Callithrix jacchus: one gene and its partner. The protein of the gene in region 1 purifies or fractionates together with the protein of each later gene. This does not show direct contact. Links are inferred from orthologs where the notes say so. Each region holds a gene or a part of one and is shown on either strand. Other genes may lie near its edges.

Region 1 (7,804 bases):
CAAATGTGCACTCTCTTTCAACCACTGGATTAAGAGGCTAAAGTACAAAAATGTTCAATCTCTTAAAGAAAAAATATAAGATAGAAAAGAACCATAAAAATATAAACTCAGTTTTACTTCTTTTTTTTTTTTTTTTGAGAGGTGGAGTCTCACTCTGTTGCCTAGGCTGGAGTGCAGTGGTGCGGTCTTGGTTCACTGCAACCTCTGCTTCCCGGGTTCAAGCGATTATCCTGCCTCACTGTCCCAAGTACCTGGGACTACAGACGTGCGCCACTATGCCCAACTAATTTTTGCACTTTCAGTAGAGACGGGGTTTCACTAATATGTTGGCCAGGCTGGTCCTGAACTCCTGACACCCCAGCCTCCAAAAGTATTGTGATTACAGGCATGAGCCAAGGCACCTGGCTGGAGACATTGAGCCCAGCCTTTTTTTCAGATGGAGTTTCACTCTTGTTACCCAGGCGGGAGTGCAATGTCAAGATCTCAGCTCACTGCAAACTCCACCTCCTGGGTTCAAGCAATTCTCCTGCCTCATCCTCCAGAGTAGCTGAGATTACAAGTGCCTGCCACCACACCCAGCTGAAGTTTTACCTTTTTTTTTTTTTTCCCTGAGAAGAAGTCTCCTCTGTCACCCGGCTGGAGTCCAACCTCAGCTCACTGCAATCTCCCTCTTCCGCATTCCAGCAATTCTCTTGCCTCAGCCTCCTGAATAGCTGGGACTACAGGCGCATGCCACCACTCCTGGCTAATTTTTGTATTTTTAGTAGAGACAGGGTTTCATTATGTTGGCCAGGATGGTCTCGATCTCCTGATCTCATGATCTGCCAGCCTCAGCCTCCCAAAGTGTTGGGATTATAGACATGAGCCACCGCACCCGGACAGTTTTACTTCATGTTTAAAGGAAAATGAATCTGTAACTAATCTGTTTCAGTCTGAACTAATTTAATTTGGCATATGACAGCATCAGTTGTTGAACTCAAATGAAACTAATGAGTTGTCAATAGCCCATTCTGATGTCCACTTTAGAAATCAAAATATGAATTTTTTAAAAAGTTGTGAACAGAAACATTGTCAGTAGAAAGAGTATGAAATATGCAGCATACAGATCAATGAAAATATTGCTGAAGTTTCTCCAGCCTGGCCAACATAACAAGATCCAACCTCTAGCCAAAAAAAAAAAAAGAGGATCACTTGAGTCTTGATCACTTGAGGATCACTATGATAACTTTCCACTCCAGTTTGGGTAAGAGAATGAGCCCCTGTCTCTAAAATAGATAAAATAAAATAATTTTTTTTACATATTTAATGTATCCAACTGAAAAATAAATTTTTTTAGCTTAAGTATGTTCTCAGAGAAAAATAAAAATGTTTAAGAGGATTTAAGTATAATAGACATATATATCTATGTGATACTCAAAGTCACCAGCTTGAGACCTGAGGTCTGAATTCTATTTCGTTTATTCCTTACATGGAACTGCTATTTCTTCAAATCTAAGAGCTGAGGGTCTTTTATTTTTCATACCTAGGTTTTCCTTAATCTCTCCTTTTATCCTACTTCCCAGCTCTTGTCACCCAACAGTGTTAACTAAAATTTCCTTGTGGCTGGGCACAGTGGCTCACACCTGTAATCCCTGCACTTTGGAAGGCTAAAGCAGGCGGTTCACTTGAGGTCAGGAGATTGAGAGCAGCCTGGCCAACTTGGTGGAAACTCGTCTCCACTAAAAATACAAAAATTAGCCAGGCAGGATGGTGCGTGTCTGTAGTCCCAGCTATTAGGGAGGCTGAGGCAGGAGAATCACTTGAACCTGGGAGGGAGGCAGAGCTTATGGTGAGCCGAGATCATCCCACTGCACTCCAGCCTGGACAACAGAGCAAGACTCCATCTCAAAATAAACAAATAAACAAATAAATAAAATTTCCTTGCATGTTCTGACATTCTCTTCCTAAATACAACAACTAAAACAATCTTAGAGACAGGGTCTCACTCCCGTCACCCAGTCGGGAGTGCAATTGCGTGATCTCAACTCACTGCATCCTGAACAACCAGAGCTCAAGTGATCCTCCTACTTCAGCCCCTCAAGTAGCTGAAATTAAAGGCATCGCCACTGCGCCCAGCTAATTTTTGTGTTTTTCATAGAGACAGGGTTTCACTATGTTGCCCAGGCTGGACTCTAACTCATGGGCTCAAACGATCCACCCCCTCAGCCTCCCAAAGTGTTAGAATTACAGGCATGAGCCATGGTGCTCAGCAAAAAATGATCTACTATTTTCTTTTCTTTTCTTTTCTTTTTTTTTTTTTTTTTTTTTTTGAGACAGAGTCTTGATCTGTCACCTGAAGTGGGATTATAGGTGTGAACCACCTTGCCGGGCCCAAAAAATGATCTACTCTTAAACATGCTCTTCTATTCTAAAACATCACAACCATTTTCATTCTCTCCAAGGGATCCTGGATGTTCCTAAGAGGTGATAAAGAATGGAGCTTGCTGGCCGGACATGGTGGCTCACACCTGTAATCTGAGCACTTCGGGAGGTCAGGCAGATCACTTGAGGTCAGGAGTTTGTGACCAGTCTGACCAACATGGTGAAACCCTGTCTCTACTAAAAATACAAAAAATTAGCCGGCCATGGTGGGGTGCACCTGTGGTTCCAGCTACTCGGGAGACTGAGGCAGGCAAAGTGCTTGTATCTGGGAGGCGGAGGTTGCAATAAGCTGAGATCACACCACTGCACTCCAGCCTGGGTGACAGAGTGAGATTGCGTCTCAGGAAAAAAAAAAAAAAAAAAGAATGGAGCAGTTAACAAAAACTTTCTTTCCACAAACACATAGTATTCTTAAAAGTTATCTCCCTCCTTGACCTCTGTCCAAAACCATGAATACATGCTTCTTTCCCTATATCCTACTTCCCACTCCCGGGCCCCACAAAGAAAATAGGTTTCAACAAGATTGAAATTCTAGAACAGTTTTTGGTGTTGGTAGTAGAGAGAGACACTATGAATGAAGTGCAGATTGCTCCTGTTTTCATTAATGGACAATGCAAGTGAGCATCTAATTGAGGTGTGGGAGAAAAGTGGGTTTCTTAGGCAGAGGGAGAAGCAAGCTCTCAGCATACTCGAAATAAGGATAAAAGGAGGGAATTGTAAAAGTGAGACTTCTTATTTCACTTACTTTCCATAAAAATTTTTTCATTAACTATTAGCATAGGTTTGGAATGACCTGCTTTATGTTTTGAGCCTCATTTTCTTCACCTCTAAAATGCTGATACCAATAATACCTTCATCTCACAGCGTTATTGTGAGGATTAAATAACACTTTTCATGGTCTGGGATAGTTGCTATTTTTTTTAAAAAAAGAAAAAAGATAACACATACAAAGCTAATAGCACAATGCCTGGCACATATACTAAAAAATGTTAGCTTAAAAGAAACATGAGGCCGGGTGCGCCTGTAATCCCAGCACTCTGGGAGGCCAAGGCGGGTGGATCACCTGAAATCAGGAGTTGGAGACGACCCTGACCAACACGGGGAAACCCCGTCTCTACTAAAATTATAAAATTAGCCGGGCGTGGTAGCGAATGCCTGTAATCCCAGCTACTCAGGAGGCTGAGGCAGGAGAATCGTTTGAACCCGGGCGGCGGAGGTTGCAGTGAGCCAAGGTCGCGCTATTGCACTCCAGCCTGGACAACAGTGAAACCCCGTCTCAATAAAAAAAAAAAAAAAACCCGAAGGATGTAGTATCCTTGCTTTCATTCAGAAACATATGTTTTAGGTTTCATTGTAAAGTGATATGTTTACATTTATGCAATTCATTCATTAAATATTTCAACTTGGAAATTAAAGGCTATCTTTGAAAACTGCTTTAAGTAAAATCAAACCAGGGGGAAAAGTTTTATGCTAAATGTAACTACACTGAAAAGCATTCAGGAATCATTGTACAGATAAAATGATTATCTTGATAAAAATGATGCAAATTCAACTGCAGTCATATGCAGCTATTCCTTGCAAAACTGTCATTTGTTCTTTCTGACACTATAGTACCCTGCTTTCATTAAAAGCCTGTAACAAGGCACTGCTTCTTCAGTATCAAAACCTTTTGGAAACCTTGGCTCGGAGGAAGCCGCACACTCTTTACAGTGCTAAGAAAGGATCGGTGTGGTCACTCTAGGACAACTGTCACTGTCATCAGCACGTCTGGGTGTCTCACAGTGACTTGGGTCATGCAGAAGTGTGGGGGAAGGCTGGTGTCTGAAACAAAGTCGATGGTTAGGGCGCCCTGAAAGGGGAGAGATTTTGACTGAGAATACTAGATGAGGCTCTGATCTACGGGGATGGTCTCCCGGGGCAGATCAATTCCGGGGGTGCACCGTCCCCTCCCACAGGAAAGGGACGCAGGTGTGGCACTCCCACGGCGACCCCACTGCCTTCTTCCCTGTGCCGCCGCCCCCTCCCCCAGCCCCCCTAGTTACCTTTCTCGTCTTCATCGATGCGCAGGGCAATGGAGATGTACTCGAAGGCCTGTTTATGGAAGACTCGGACGCGCTCGGCCTCTCCGCCCGGCACCGGCGCCGGGGGCGAGGCCGACGCCGGTGCTGGCGCGGCCCCGGAGCTCCTCTTGGCTGCCATGAGGGCGCGGGAGAAGCGCTGGCAAAGCCACAGGAAGAGGAGCCCCAGGTGGAAGGCGACCAAACGCAGCAGCGCGAAACCTACGAACAGCGGGTAGGAGAAGTAGTACAGGTTCCGCTTATGCGGCGACTCGGGCGAACAGGCCCGCCCGGCGGCGGGAGGGGCGGGGGCCAGGCAGGGGGGCGGAGGCCTGGGAGGCACCGGGCTGCAGGCGCTGCCGGAGCCTTTCTTCTTTCCTCGTCCACCCGGAGAATTCATTCACAGCTCTCACTGCCGCCGCCGCCATAACCCGCCTCCCGCAGACCAACGGGAACCAACCAAGCGACAGCAGCGGCCACTGCGACGGCTAGGGCCACAGACCCCCGCCTGTCCGCCGGCCTCCGGCGCTCCGCACCGCCGCGCGCTGCCCGCCGGCCCCGCCCCTTTCTCCTTCCTCGGCCAGGAGCACAACCCCTTCTTCCTCCTGCAGTCGGTGGATTGGGCCCCTCCCTCCTTGCCGCTGTCCTCTCTGCCGCTTGGTGGCTCCCAGCGGCGGCCGCGCACGCGCACGTCCGTCTTCCCGTGTTTTTCTCCGGCGCGCGCGCGCACGGCGCGTCTTTGTTGACCTGGGCTCCTGTACGCGTGTGCGGTGCCGGCCCCTCCTCCTTCCCTGCTCGACTACAATTCCCAATGTGCAGTTCAGCTCACGTCAGCAGCCCCGAAGAGGTACTGCCAGGAAGCCTTGGTAATCGATCCACCGAAGGGGGAATTGCAGCTTGGGGTCGCTCTGCTGGTTCGCAGGGCTCCTTTCTCAATGTCATCGTTTTCTTACATTTCTTTCATCTTTTTCTACCAGTCGACCTAAGTCTTCTCCGAATGATAATTGACCCATCTCAGAAGCAATGGGTATCAATCTGGGAATTAAATTAGCCAGAGGTGATGGAGGGCTCGCTCCTGTAGTCTCAGCTACTTGGGAGACTGAGGCAGGAGAATAGCTTGAACTCGGGAGGTAGAGGCTGCAAGTTAGCTGATATCGCGCCACTGCACTCCAGCCTGGGCGACACAACGAGACTCCGTCTCCAGAAAAAAATAAAATAAAATAAAAAATTTAGAATTAGGAATTATTCGAGAGGAAAGCAATTGTGAAGAGAGAAATTTCAGATTACTGCAAACAACAACAACGAAAATGTTAGCTCCATGTGATCAGATCAACGAACCCAGGGGTTTAACTAAATTAGTGCGTGTTTAGATGTCTAATCTGAAAGGTAATTTATTTGAATAAGGGAAATCTTAGATTTTACGTAGTAACCATCCCATAGTTTACTGAAAAATCCATACTTTTTTTTTTTTTTTTTTAATGTACTCAGCATCCCTTCCTTTGGGAAACTACCTGCTTGTCTTTGCTCCCTGTATTCTAATGAGCTGCAAGCACAGAACCCAGGCCACAAAGGTGGAAACAAACACTAGGTCAGTCAGACTCTCTGGGGACTTAGAATCTTAGCTGGAGACACACTGAATAAAAGGTAGTTGGAATTGAGTGCTCTTAAGAGCGGGTTGATCAATGCATCACATTGAGCACCCCAGAGCTGCTGGGTTCCTGACTGGTCACTTGGTTATGTAACCTATCCAATACACTAATCAATCTATTTCTCTCTTCGTCTCTTCTTTTCCTCTTCCTTCCTTTTGTCTTTTCCTCTCTCTCTGTCTCCACATCTTTTTTCTCTTCTCTTTCTCTTTTCACTTGAGTTAGCTATAATTATTTCTTGTTTCCTAAAACTAAGGAAGCCTAACTGATACAAAGACTTATTTGTAGTGTGAGGTTTACAAATGCCCCATGAGAGCTTCTAGCTTCCAAGAATCTCCACATTCTGCCACAGCTTTATTTTTTATTTTTTGAGACAGAGTCTCACTCTATCACTCAGGCTGGAGTGCAGTGGCACAAACAACGTGGCTCACTGCAACCTACACCTTCCTGACTCAGGTGGTCCTTCCCCCTCAGCCTCCTGAGTAGCTGGGACCACAGGCACACACTACTACACTCAACTTCCTTTTTGATTCTTTGTAGAGCAAGGGTTTCACCATGTTGCCCAGGCTGGTCTCCAACTCCTGGGCTTAAGCAATCCACTTGCCTCGGCCTTCCACAGTGGTGGGGTTACAGACGTGAGCCACCCCATCGCACCTGAAGCTACTTTTTTTTTCCTTTTCTCTCTTTTTTTATTCTTTATTCTTTTTTGGGTTTTTTTTTCTGTCCAGAGTCTTGGGGTTAAGTAGCCACGCAGCTACTTTTTTACTTTTTTGTTGAGACAGGGTCTTGCTATGTTCCCCAGGCTGGCCTCGAATTCCTGGACTCAAGCAATCTGCCCGCCTTGGCCTCCCAAAGTGCTGAGATTACGGGCATGAGCCACAGCCAACTTTACTTAATTATTTCCCACCAATAATGCCCTACAAATATTGCAGGCTATTGCAAAAATCACCTACTCCCTGTTTCCCTCTTATTGCTCCCCCTTCTCTGTGCTTATGCTAGTTCCTCATTCTGAAATATCCTCTTTCTGCTGGGTGCGGTGGCTGACACCTGTAATCCCAGCACTTTGGTAGCCAAGGTGAGTGGATCACCTGAAGTCAGGAATTCGAGACCAGCCTGGCCAACATGGCAAAACCCCTATACTAAAAATACAAAAGTTAGGCCAGGTATGGTGGCTTATGCCTGTAATTCCAGTACTTTGGGAGGCCGAGGTGATCAAATCACCTGTGGTCTGGATTTCGAGACCGACCTGGCCAACATGGTGAAACCCCATCTCTACCAAAAATACAAGAAAACTTAGCCGGGTGTTGTACTGGGCACCTGTAATTCCAGCTACTCAAGAGCCTGAGGCAGGAGAATTGGTTGAACCGAGGAGGCAGAAGTTGCAGTGAGCCAAGATTGTGCCATTGCACTCCAGCCTGGGCAACAAGAGCAAAACTCTGTCTCAAAAAAAAAAAAAAAATCTGATTCAATTGCTGAACTCCCACCAAAAAACTTGACTTATACTGTATACTCTATTACGTGTATACATATATCATGTAAACAAAAACTATATTACTTAAATATGCAATTTAAGAAAAACAATAAGCAGCATTTTGTTTAAGAAAAATGAATGTTTGGGAGGTCGAGGCAGGTGGATCACAATGTCAGGAGTTCAAGACCAGCCTAGCCAATATGGTGAAA
Region 2 (7,946 bases), on another chromosome or scaffold:
TCTCGGCCTCCCAAAGTGCTGGGATTACAGGCATGAGTCATCGCGCCCAGCTGCTCCTTCCTCTTTAAGGAATGATGTTCCCAAACCTATCTTTGGCAAAAGCACAAGTCACACATTCTCCTGTGACCTGTGTTTTTTCCTGGTTGGATTCTCAACCTTAGCTAAATAAACCTTTACTGATTGAGGCTTGCCTCAGTCACTTTTCAGTTAACAAAAAAAAGAGGGAAGAGAAGAGCATTCCAAGTAGCGAAAACAGTAGGTATCTCCTACATAAAGCCCATGAATTTCTGTATACACATCACAGATTATCCATATTTGACATGCTCTCTTCAAAGTTCAAATGGAATTGAATGCACAGCGATAAAACGGGAATAGTCTGTAAGGTCTTTTAGGCTGACTGACAGCGCCATGGATGCCATGTTAACCTCTGTGACTCCAGATGAGTTCCTGGAAAATCTGAAATAACTGGAAAACCATGAAAAGAAGAAGAAATGATCAACCCCTTTGAGACATTCTGTATTGTTCCTTATTCCTGCCCCAACTGATAAGGCCATTGGATTTTGTAACCAACCTTGGTCAGCCTGGTCTAGGTCAACCTGGACTCCGCACTCTACAACCTCCTCGCAGCTTGCAAACTTAAGACCCCCATCTCAGCTTGCAAAAACCCCGCCCTAAACTGTAACTTCTGTAACTTTCCACTGCTGACCCCAAACCTATAAAACCAACTCCTCTCCCACAGCCCTTAACTGACTCTTTTCGGACTCAGCCTGCCCACACCCAGGTGAATAAATAGCCATGCTGCTCACACACTAAGGCTGTTTTGGGGGGCGGGGTCCCTTCATTCAGAGTGCACATTTTAACATTTGGTGCCAGAAACCTGGGATGGGGGAACTACTACAGGAGACCAAACCCCGGTCCTGTTCTCCTTGGGCTCCCTCCATGGAGAGACCTACCTATGACCTAGATTCATCAGACCAGCCCACAGATCTACTCACCATCCTCTCAGCTCAGGTAAGTGGTTTGCCTCAACTTTTCTCTTTAGCCCTTCATGCTACCTGTCAAGCTTTGTCTCCCCTCAGTTTCATTTTTCTCTCCCTTTCATCAGAGACAAGAAAGACAGGACTTTCTGTGAGGTTCATGACCAGAAAAAAATCCTACGTAGGTCACGGAACTGGGAAGACAGTCTTCCATCAGTGACTGATCATTGCGGAGACATCTGCTCTGGTCACTCACTCACACTCACAGGTGATAGATCAATACGGGGGACGCCCCCTTTGACCGATTCACCCCAGGTTCAGACCAAGATTTAGTCTGGGATGTCTGCTAAACTGCTTGGTCATGCATTCACTTTCCTTGTCTCCACCGCTCGTCTTTTTTGTTGTTTTTTTTTTTTAATTTTTAATTTTTTATTTTTTCCGCCGCTCTTTTCTTTTTTAGACAGAGTTTCGCTCTTGTTACCCAGGCTGGAGTGCAATGGTGCGATCTCGGCTCACCACAACCTCCACCTCCTGAGGCAATTCTCCTGCCTCAGCCTCCTGAGTAGCTGGGATTACAGGCACGCACCACCATGCCCAGCTTATTTTTTGTTTTTAGTAGAGATGGGGTTTCAGCATGTTGACCAGGATGGTCTCAATCTCTTGACCTCGTGATCCACCTGCCTCGGCCTCCCAAAGCGCTGGGATTACAGGCATGAGCCACCGCGCCGAGCCCCGCTCTTCTTAAACTATGGGCAAACTCCTACCCTCCATTCCTCCCTCCTCTCCCTTAGCCTACGTTCTAAAAAACCTCAAACTTCTCCGGCTATCACCTGACCTAAAACCTAAGCATCTTATTTTCTTCTGCAATACTGCTTGACCATGATATAAATTGGACAATGGCTCTAAATGTCCATTGTCCATTTAGAAAATGGTACCTTCAATTTCTCTATCCTACAGGATCTAGATAACTTTCGTAGTAAAATGGGCAAATTCTCTACGTCCAGGCATTTTTTTTTACACACCAATCTCTCCCTAATCTCTGTTCTCAATGCAACCCATCCCAAATTTTCCTTCTCTCCCTTCCATCTGCCCCTCCTGCCTCTGCCAGCAACCTAGAATTCTCCTTGTCCATCGACCCTTCCGACCTTTCTCCTCCCTGCCTGTCGGAACCAGGCCCTAATCCAGGACCTAAGCCCAACCCCTAGAGCTTTCCTCCTCTTCCTCTGCCCACAACCCATTTCCTTATGCCCCTCCTGTCACCTCGCCACCTCATAAGTGCCCCAGCTTGCAGTTTAGTCCTGTGGCTACCTCCTCCACCCCTGTCTGACAATTCCCTCTTCGAGAGGTGGCTGGAGCCAAAGGCATAGTTAGGGTGCAGGTTCCTTTCTCTTTATCCGACCTTTCCCAAATCAGCCAATGGTTAGGCTCTTTTACATCAGATCCTCCAATACTTAACCCAGGCCTGTAATCTCGCCTGGAGTGACTTAAATGTCATCCTTACTTCTACTCTCACCCCTGAAGAATGCTTGATATGCATTTTATCACCCATTGAGTCCCTAACATTACAAAAAGCCACAGAAATTAGAATCTGGCCCTCAAACCCCACAACAGGAATTAATTGACCTCACCTTTAAGGTGTTAAATAATAGGGAAAAAGCTACCCAGGGGCAGCGTATTTCGGAATTACAAATGCTTGCCTCCTCTGTAAGATAGACCACAGCTACTTCTTCTTCGGCTCACAGAAGTTTCAGACCACCAAACCCACAGCGTCCAGACTTCTCTTCAGGACCTCCTTCCCCAAAGCCTTGCTTCAAATGCCGAGAACCTGGCCACTGAGCCAAGGAATGCCTGCAGCCCGGATTTTTTTTTTTTTTTTTTTGAGACAGAGTCTTACTCTGTCGCCAGTCTGGAGTGCAGTGGCGGGATCTCGACTCACTGCAGCCTCCGCCTCCTGGGTTCAAGCAATTCTCTTGCCTCAGCCACCCAAGCAGCTGGGACTACAGGCGCGCGCCACCATGCCCAGCTAATTTTTGTATTTAAGTAGAGACGGAGTTTCAACATGTTGGCTAGGCTGGTCTGGATCTCTTGACCTCGTGATCCGCCCGCCTCAGCCTCCCAACCGGGATTCTTCCTAAGCCATGTCCTGTCTGTGTGGGACCCCAATGGAGGTAGGACTGCCAGACTCAAACTGCTGTCTTTAAGTCTCCAGGAGCCCAACCCGGGAGCCCTCAGGCTGACTCTTTCCCTGATCTCCTTGGCTTGGTGGCTGAAGACTGATGCTGCCTGAACATCTCAGAGGCTCCCTGGAACATCACAAACACTGCGCTTCGAGTAACTGGTGGAGGTCAAGTCCATCCCCTTCTTAATCAACCCGGAGCCACACACTCCACACTGCCTTCTTTTCAAGGACCTGTCTCCTTGGCCTCCATAACTGTTGTGGGAATTGACGGCAAGGTCTCCAGGCCTCTCAAAACTCCCCAAGTCTGGTGTCAATTAGGCCAGCACCACTTTCCATATTCTTTCCTAATCAGTCCCACTTGTCCAATTCCTCTGTTAGGCCAAGATATCCTAGCAAAATTGTCTGCCTCCTTAACTATTCCTGGGCTATAGCCACACCTCACTGGCGCCCTCCTCCCCGAACCCATACCTCCTGAATAGCTCCTCTTATGTCCCCCTACCTTAACCCTAGGGTGAGGGACACCGCCTCCCCATCCGTGGCTACAAGTCACTCTAACTTTCCACTGCCCACCCCAAACCTATAAAACCAACTCCTATCTCACCGCCCTTCGCTGACTCTTTTCGGATTCAGCCCGCCCACACCCAGGTGAATAAACAGCCATGTTGCTCACACAAAGTCTGGGTGTATCTTCATTCAAAGCGCACGTTTTAACAGTCTCCCCAGAGAATAAATACGTTCAATAAACCTTAGACCACACAGGCAGAAGCTCAATGTACCGCTTGCAAAGCTTAACATAGCTAGAAGAAAAACATCAATACTTCTGCTCGGGCTGAACCCACTCTACTGCCCAAGAGGAAAAGCGAGGGAAATAGAAAGGCCAGGAAGACAAAGGAGGGAAAGGGATGGAGTGGGACCTTCGGGGCCAGGACTTGTGACTGGTGGCAGAAACCCTGCAACCACTGCAACTCGAGGGCGGGCACTTCGTTAACACTGCGACCTTCGGACAGTGGCAACTGAGTCAAGGGTAGGGGACGAGCGCCTAGCGGCCAGGAGGGAAGCAGACAAGCCTGAACTAACGAAGCAGACGCAGTTCTGGAGCCGCAAGGACGAACAAGCCTTTTCGGGGCGCCCTTACAGTGACTGTTGGCTCGCCATCAAGCTCCTCCATAGCGCTACACTCCAGCCTCCTGGAAGTCGCCCCACCGCCAATGCTTCCCGCTCAGGCCTCCAGCTCAGAGCTGGCTAAGAGAGGACCCCGCTGGGCGCCTCCTGCAGCGCCTGCAAGCCCAAACCCTCAATGCTGCGGGGGCCTCTCCTCTCAGCCACCCGTCTGCGGTCCTCTGAGCGGGTCCTTCCTTTCTGGCCTCGACAGCACGTCAGGGAGAAGAGCGCCGAGGGCAGACTGCATTCACGGTACCGCGCTCACAGGATCAGGCGGCACCGCGGACATCCCCGCGCCGGGCGGAGAAAAGGCCCCCGGAGACGGCGGGAGGGGCGGGAGGACCCTGGGGCCAGAGACGGTGCGACTGCGCGTGCGTGAGCTTTGCGGCGCTGGTGCGAACTCGGGCAGCGCTAGGGCCCCAGTGAGCGTACAACCTCTACCAACGCTGGGAGTCCTCGCCCCATCCTGGTCTCCACTTTAGTGTCGTCGCAGCTGCTTGTCCAAACCCCGACAGTCAAACGGATTTGTGCTGGAAAGCAATCGCCGCCACTCCCACACTAGAACACATACAAGAAGCACCCGGACAAAATCGACACCACTGAAGGCTGGGCGCGGTGGCTCACTCCTCTAATCTCCGCACTTTGGCAGGCCTAGGTGGGCGGATCACTGGAGGTCAGGGGTTCGAGACCAGCCTGGCCAACATGAGGAAACCTCGTCTCTACTTAGAATACAGGCCGGGCGCAGTGGCTCACGCCTGTACTCCTAGCACTTTGGGAGGGCTAGGCGGGCGGATTACGTGAGGTCCGGGACTTCGAGACCAGCCTGACCAACATGAAGAAACCCTGTCTCTACTAAAAATACAAATTAGCCGGGCATGGTGGCGCATGCCTGTAATCCCAGCTCCTCGGGAGGCTGAAACAGGAGAATCGCTTGAACCCGGGAGGTGGAGGTTGCAGTGAGCCAAGATCTCGACACTGCACTCCAGCCTGGGCAACACAGTGAGACTCCATCTCAAAAAAAACAAATCTTGGCTGGGCGCGGTGGCTCACGCCTATAATCCCAGCACTTTGTGAGGCCGAGACGAGTGGATCACAAGGTCAAGAGATCGAGACCATCCTGGTCAACATGGTGAAACCCCGTCTCTACTAAAAACACAAAAATTAGCTGGGCATGGTGGTGCACGCCTGTAGTCCCAGCTACTCGGGAGGCTGAGGCAGGAGAATTGCCTGAACCCAGGAGGCGGAGGTTGCGATGAGCCGAGATCCGCCACTGCACTCCAGCCTGGGTAACAAGAGCAAAACTCCGTCTCAAAAAAAAAAAAAACAAATCTTAGTGCTATACTTCCTTTATTATTTTTCTTTTAAGGCTGACAAAATGACATTTGAAGATAACAAAAGTACTTAGATTGTCTGACCAAGAGCTAGGTAACATTGAGGAAAATGTATTGGCAATATTCTTTGGTCTAAGACTGATATATACCAGTCATTTTACCCAATCATTCAAATAGGCTTATTAATAGAATAGTGAAAAAGGAAAACTACAGCTAACAGAGCTATCCTTGTTCTGTATTTTGACTACATATACTATATATGGACCTTTTCCTTCCTCAACCTCTCTATAGATTTCAAAGAATAAGGTTTTGATGAAATCGTTTATGTATCCTTTTTCAGATAATCCTAATGGAATACCATTGGAAAAACAATTCGTTTACAAATTATTTTTCTCTTTTCACTCTTCCATCAGTGGCTCCTTGCCCTCTCTTTTCCTCCTCCTCTCTCTAGAGTGGTTAACTCTCAAATTGTATTTAACTCTGGAAAAGTCTTCAATTATGCAGGCGATACTCCAACTTGAGGTATAATAGAAACTTATTAAGAGAAAAAGAGCAAAGTATTTCTAGAATTAAAAATCATCTAAAATAAAGCATACCTGTTGCACAAGAATCAAACCAGAAATCATTTTTAAGTCACTCCAAAGTCAGGCTTAGAATCCATCTCAGATCGGCTGGGCACAGCAGCTCATGCCAGTAATCCTGGCATTTTGGAAGGCCGAGGCCAGTGAATCACTCAAAGTGATGAGGAGATTGAGGCCAGCAAGCCTAACCAACATGGTGAAACTCTGTCTGTACTAAAAATACAAAATTAGCTAGATGTGGTGGCCCATGCCTGTAATCCCAGCTATTTGGGAGGCTAAGGGAGAAGAATTGCTTTAACCTTGGAGGCAAAGGGTGCAGTTGGCTGATTGCTCCACAGCACTCCAGCCTTGGTGACAAGAGTGAAGCTCTGTCTCTTTTTTTTGTTTGTTTTGTTTTGTTTTTTAGAAACTCTGTCTCAGGAAAGAAGAATCCATCTCAGATCAAGCCAGAGGCAATGTGCTGAAGATGTGGCCTAAGTTTTTTTTGTGTATGAGACATAGTCTTGCTCTGTCACCCAGGCTGGAGTGCAGTGGTATGATCATGGCTCACTGCAACCTCTGCTTCCCAGGTTCAACTGATTCTCCTGCCTCAGCCCCTTGAGTACTGGTTGGTATGTGTACTGGTTGGTGGCATGTGCCACCGCATCCAGCTAATTTTTATATTTTTAGTAGAGACCGGGGTTTCACCATATTGGCCAGGCTGGTCTTAAACTCCTGACCTTGTGATCCACACACCTCGCTCTCCCAAAGTGCTGGGATTACAGGCATGATCCATGGTTCCAGGCCTTTTGTTTTTTTTTTTTTTTTTACCTTGAGACAGAGTCTCACTCTGCTGCCCAGGCTGGAGTACAGTGAAGTGATGTTGGCTCACTGCAACCTCTACCTCCTGAGTTCAAGTGATTCTGCTGCCTCAGCCTCCCAAGTAGCTGGGGCTACAGGCACACACCACTAAGCCTGGCTACTTTTTTATTTTTTAGTAGAGACAGGGTTTCACCACATTGGTCAAGCTGGACTTGAACTCCTGACTTCAGGTGATCCACCCACCTCAGCCTCCCAAAGTGCTGGGATTACAGGTATGAGCCACCGCATCTGGGCTGGTAAAGTCTTAAGTATATACATTTTAATGCATCCTAATAAAACTAATGCTCCATAGTCTGCTAAAGAAATAAATACACAATCATTTCAAGAGACGTAATTATTTTGGAAAACAAGGTAGAAATCTATTATCAGCAGCCACACAAATATTTATGTACTTTTTTTTTTTTTGAGACGGAGTTTCGCTTTTGTTACCCAGGCTGCAGTGCGATGGTGCGATCTCGGCTCACCACGACCTCCACCTCCTGGGTTCAGGCAATTCTCCTGCCTCAGCCTCCTGAGTAGCTGGGATTACAGGCACGCACCACCGTGCCCAGCTAATTTTTTGTATTTTTAGTAGAGACAGGGTTTCAGCATGTTGACCAGGATGGTCTCAATCTCTTCACCTCGTGATCCACCCGCCTCGGCCTCCCAAAGTGCTGGGATTACAGGCTTGAGCCACCGTGCCGGGCCATATTTATGTACTTTGAACCAGGAAGTCCTCTTTTGAAAATTTATTTCAAATAATTTAAAATACACAAGCAGGGGAAATTTATGTGGTCAGAGTGGAAGCAGGTGTGAGAGGGTCCAGCAGAAGAGAACATGGCTGCCAAAGTGTTTGAGTCCATTGGCAAGTTTGGCC

The links. The genes of interacting proteins can lie anywhere in the genome.
Region 2: the proteins of SPAST (region 1) and NUP85 purify together in Homo sapiens (affinity purification with mass spectrometry; 3 studies listed by BioGRID and IntAct, counting the BioPlex papers as one, with this or other methods). This does not show direct contact. The link is inferred for Callithrix jacchus from reciprocal best matches to the Homo sapiens genes SPAST and NUP85.

Annotation. Positions count from the first base shown.
Region 1 is NC_133515.1:82,910,036-82,917,839, forward strand, and holds the start of SPAST (spastin), read right to left. Parts: upstream 5,164-7,804; 5' UTR 4,879-5,163; coding exon 4,464-4,878; intron 1-4,463. UniProt on the Homo sapiens protein: ATP-dependent microtubule severing protein that specifically recognizes and cuts microtubules that are polyglutamylated.
Region 2 is NC_133506.1:131,119,807-131,127,752, reverse strand, and holds the start of NUP85 (nuclear pore complex protein Nup85), read right to left. Parts: upstream 4,401-7,946; 5' UTR 4,325-4,400; coding exon 4,292-4,324; intron 1-4,291. UniProt on the Homo sapiens protein: Essential component of the nuclear pore complex (NPC) that seems to be required for NPC assembly and maintenance. As part of the NPC Nup107-160 subcomplex plays a role in RNA export and in tethering NUP96/Nup98 and NUP153 to the nucleus.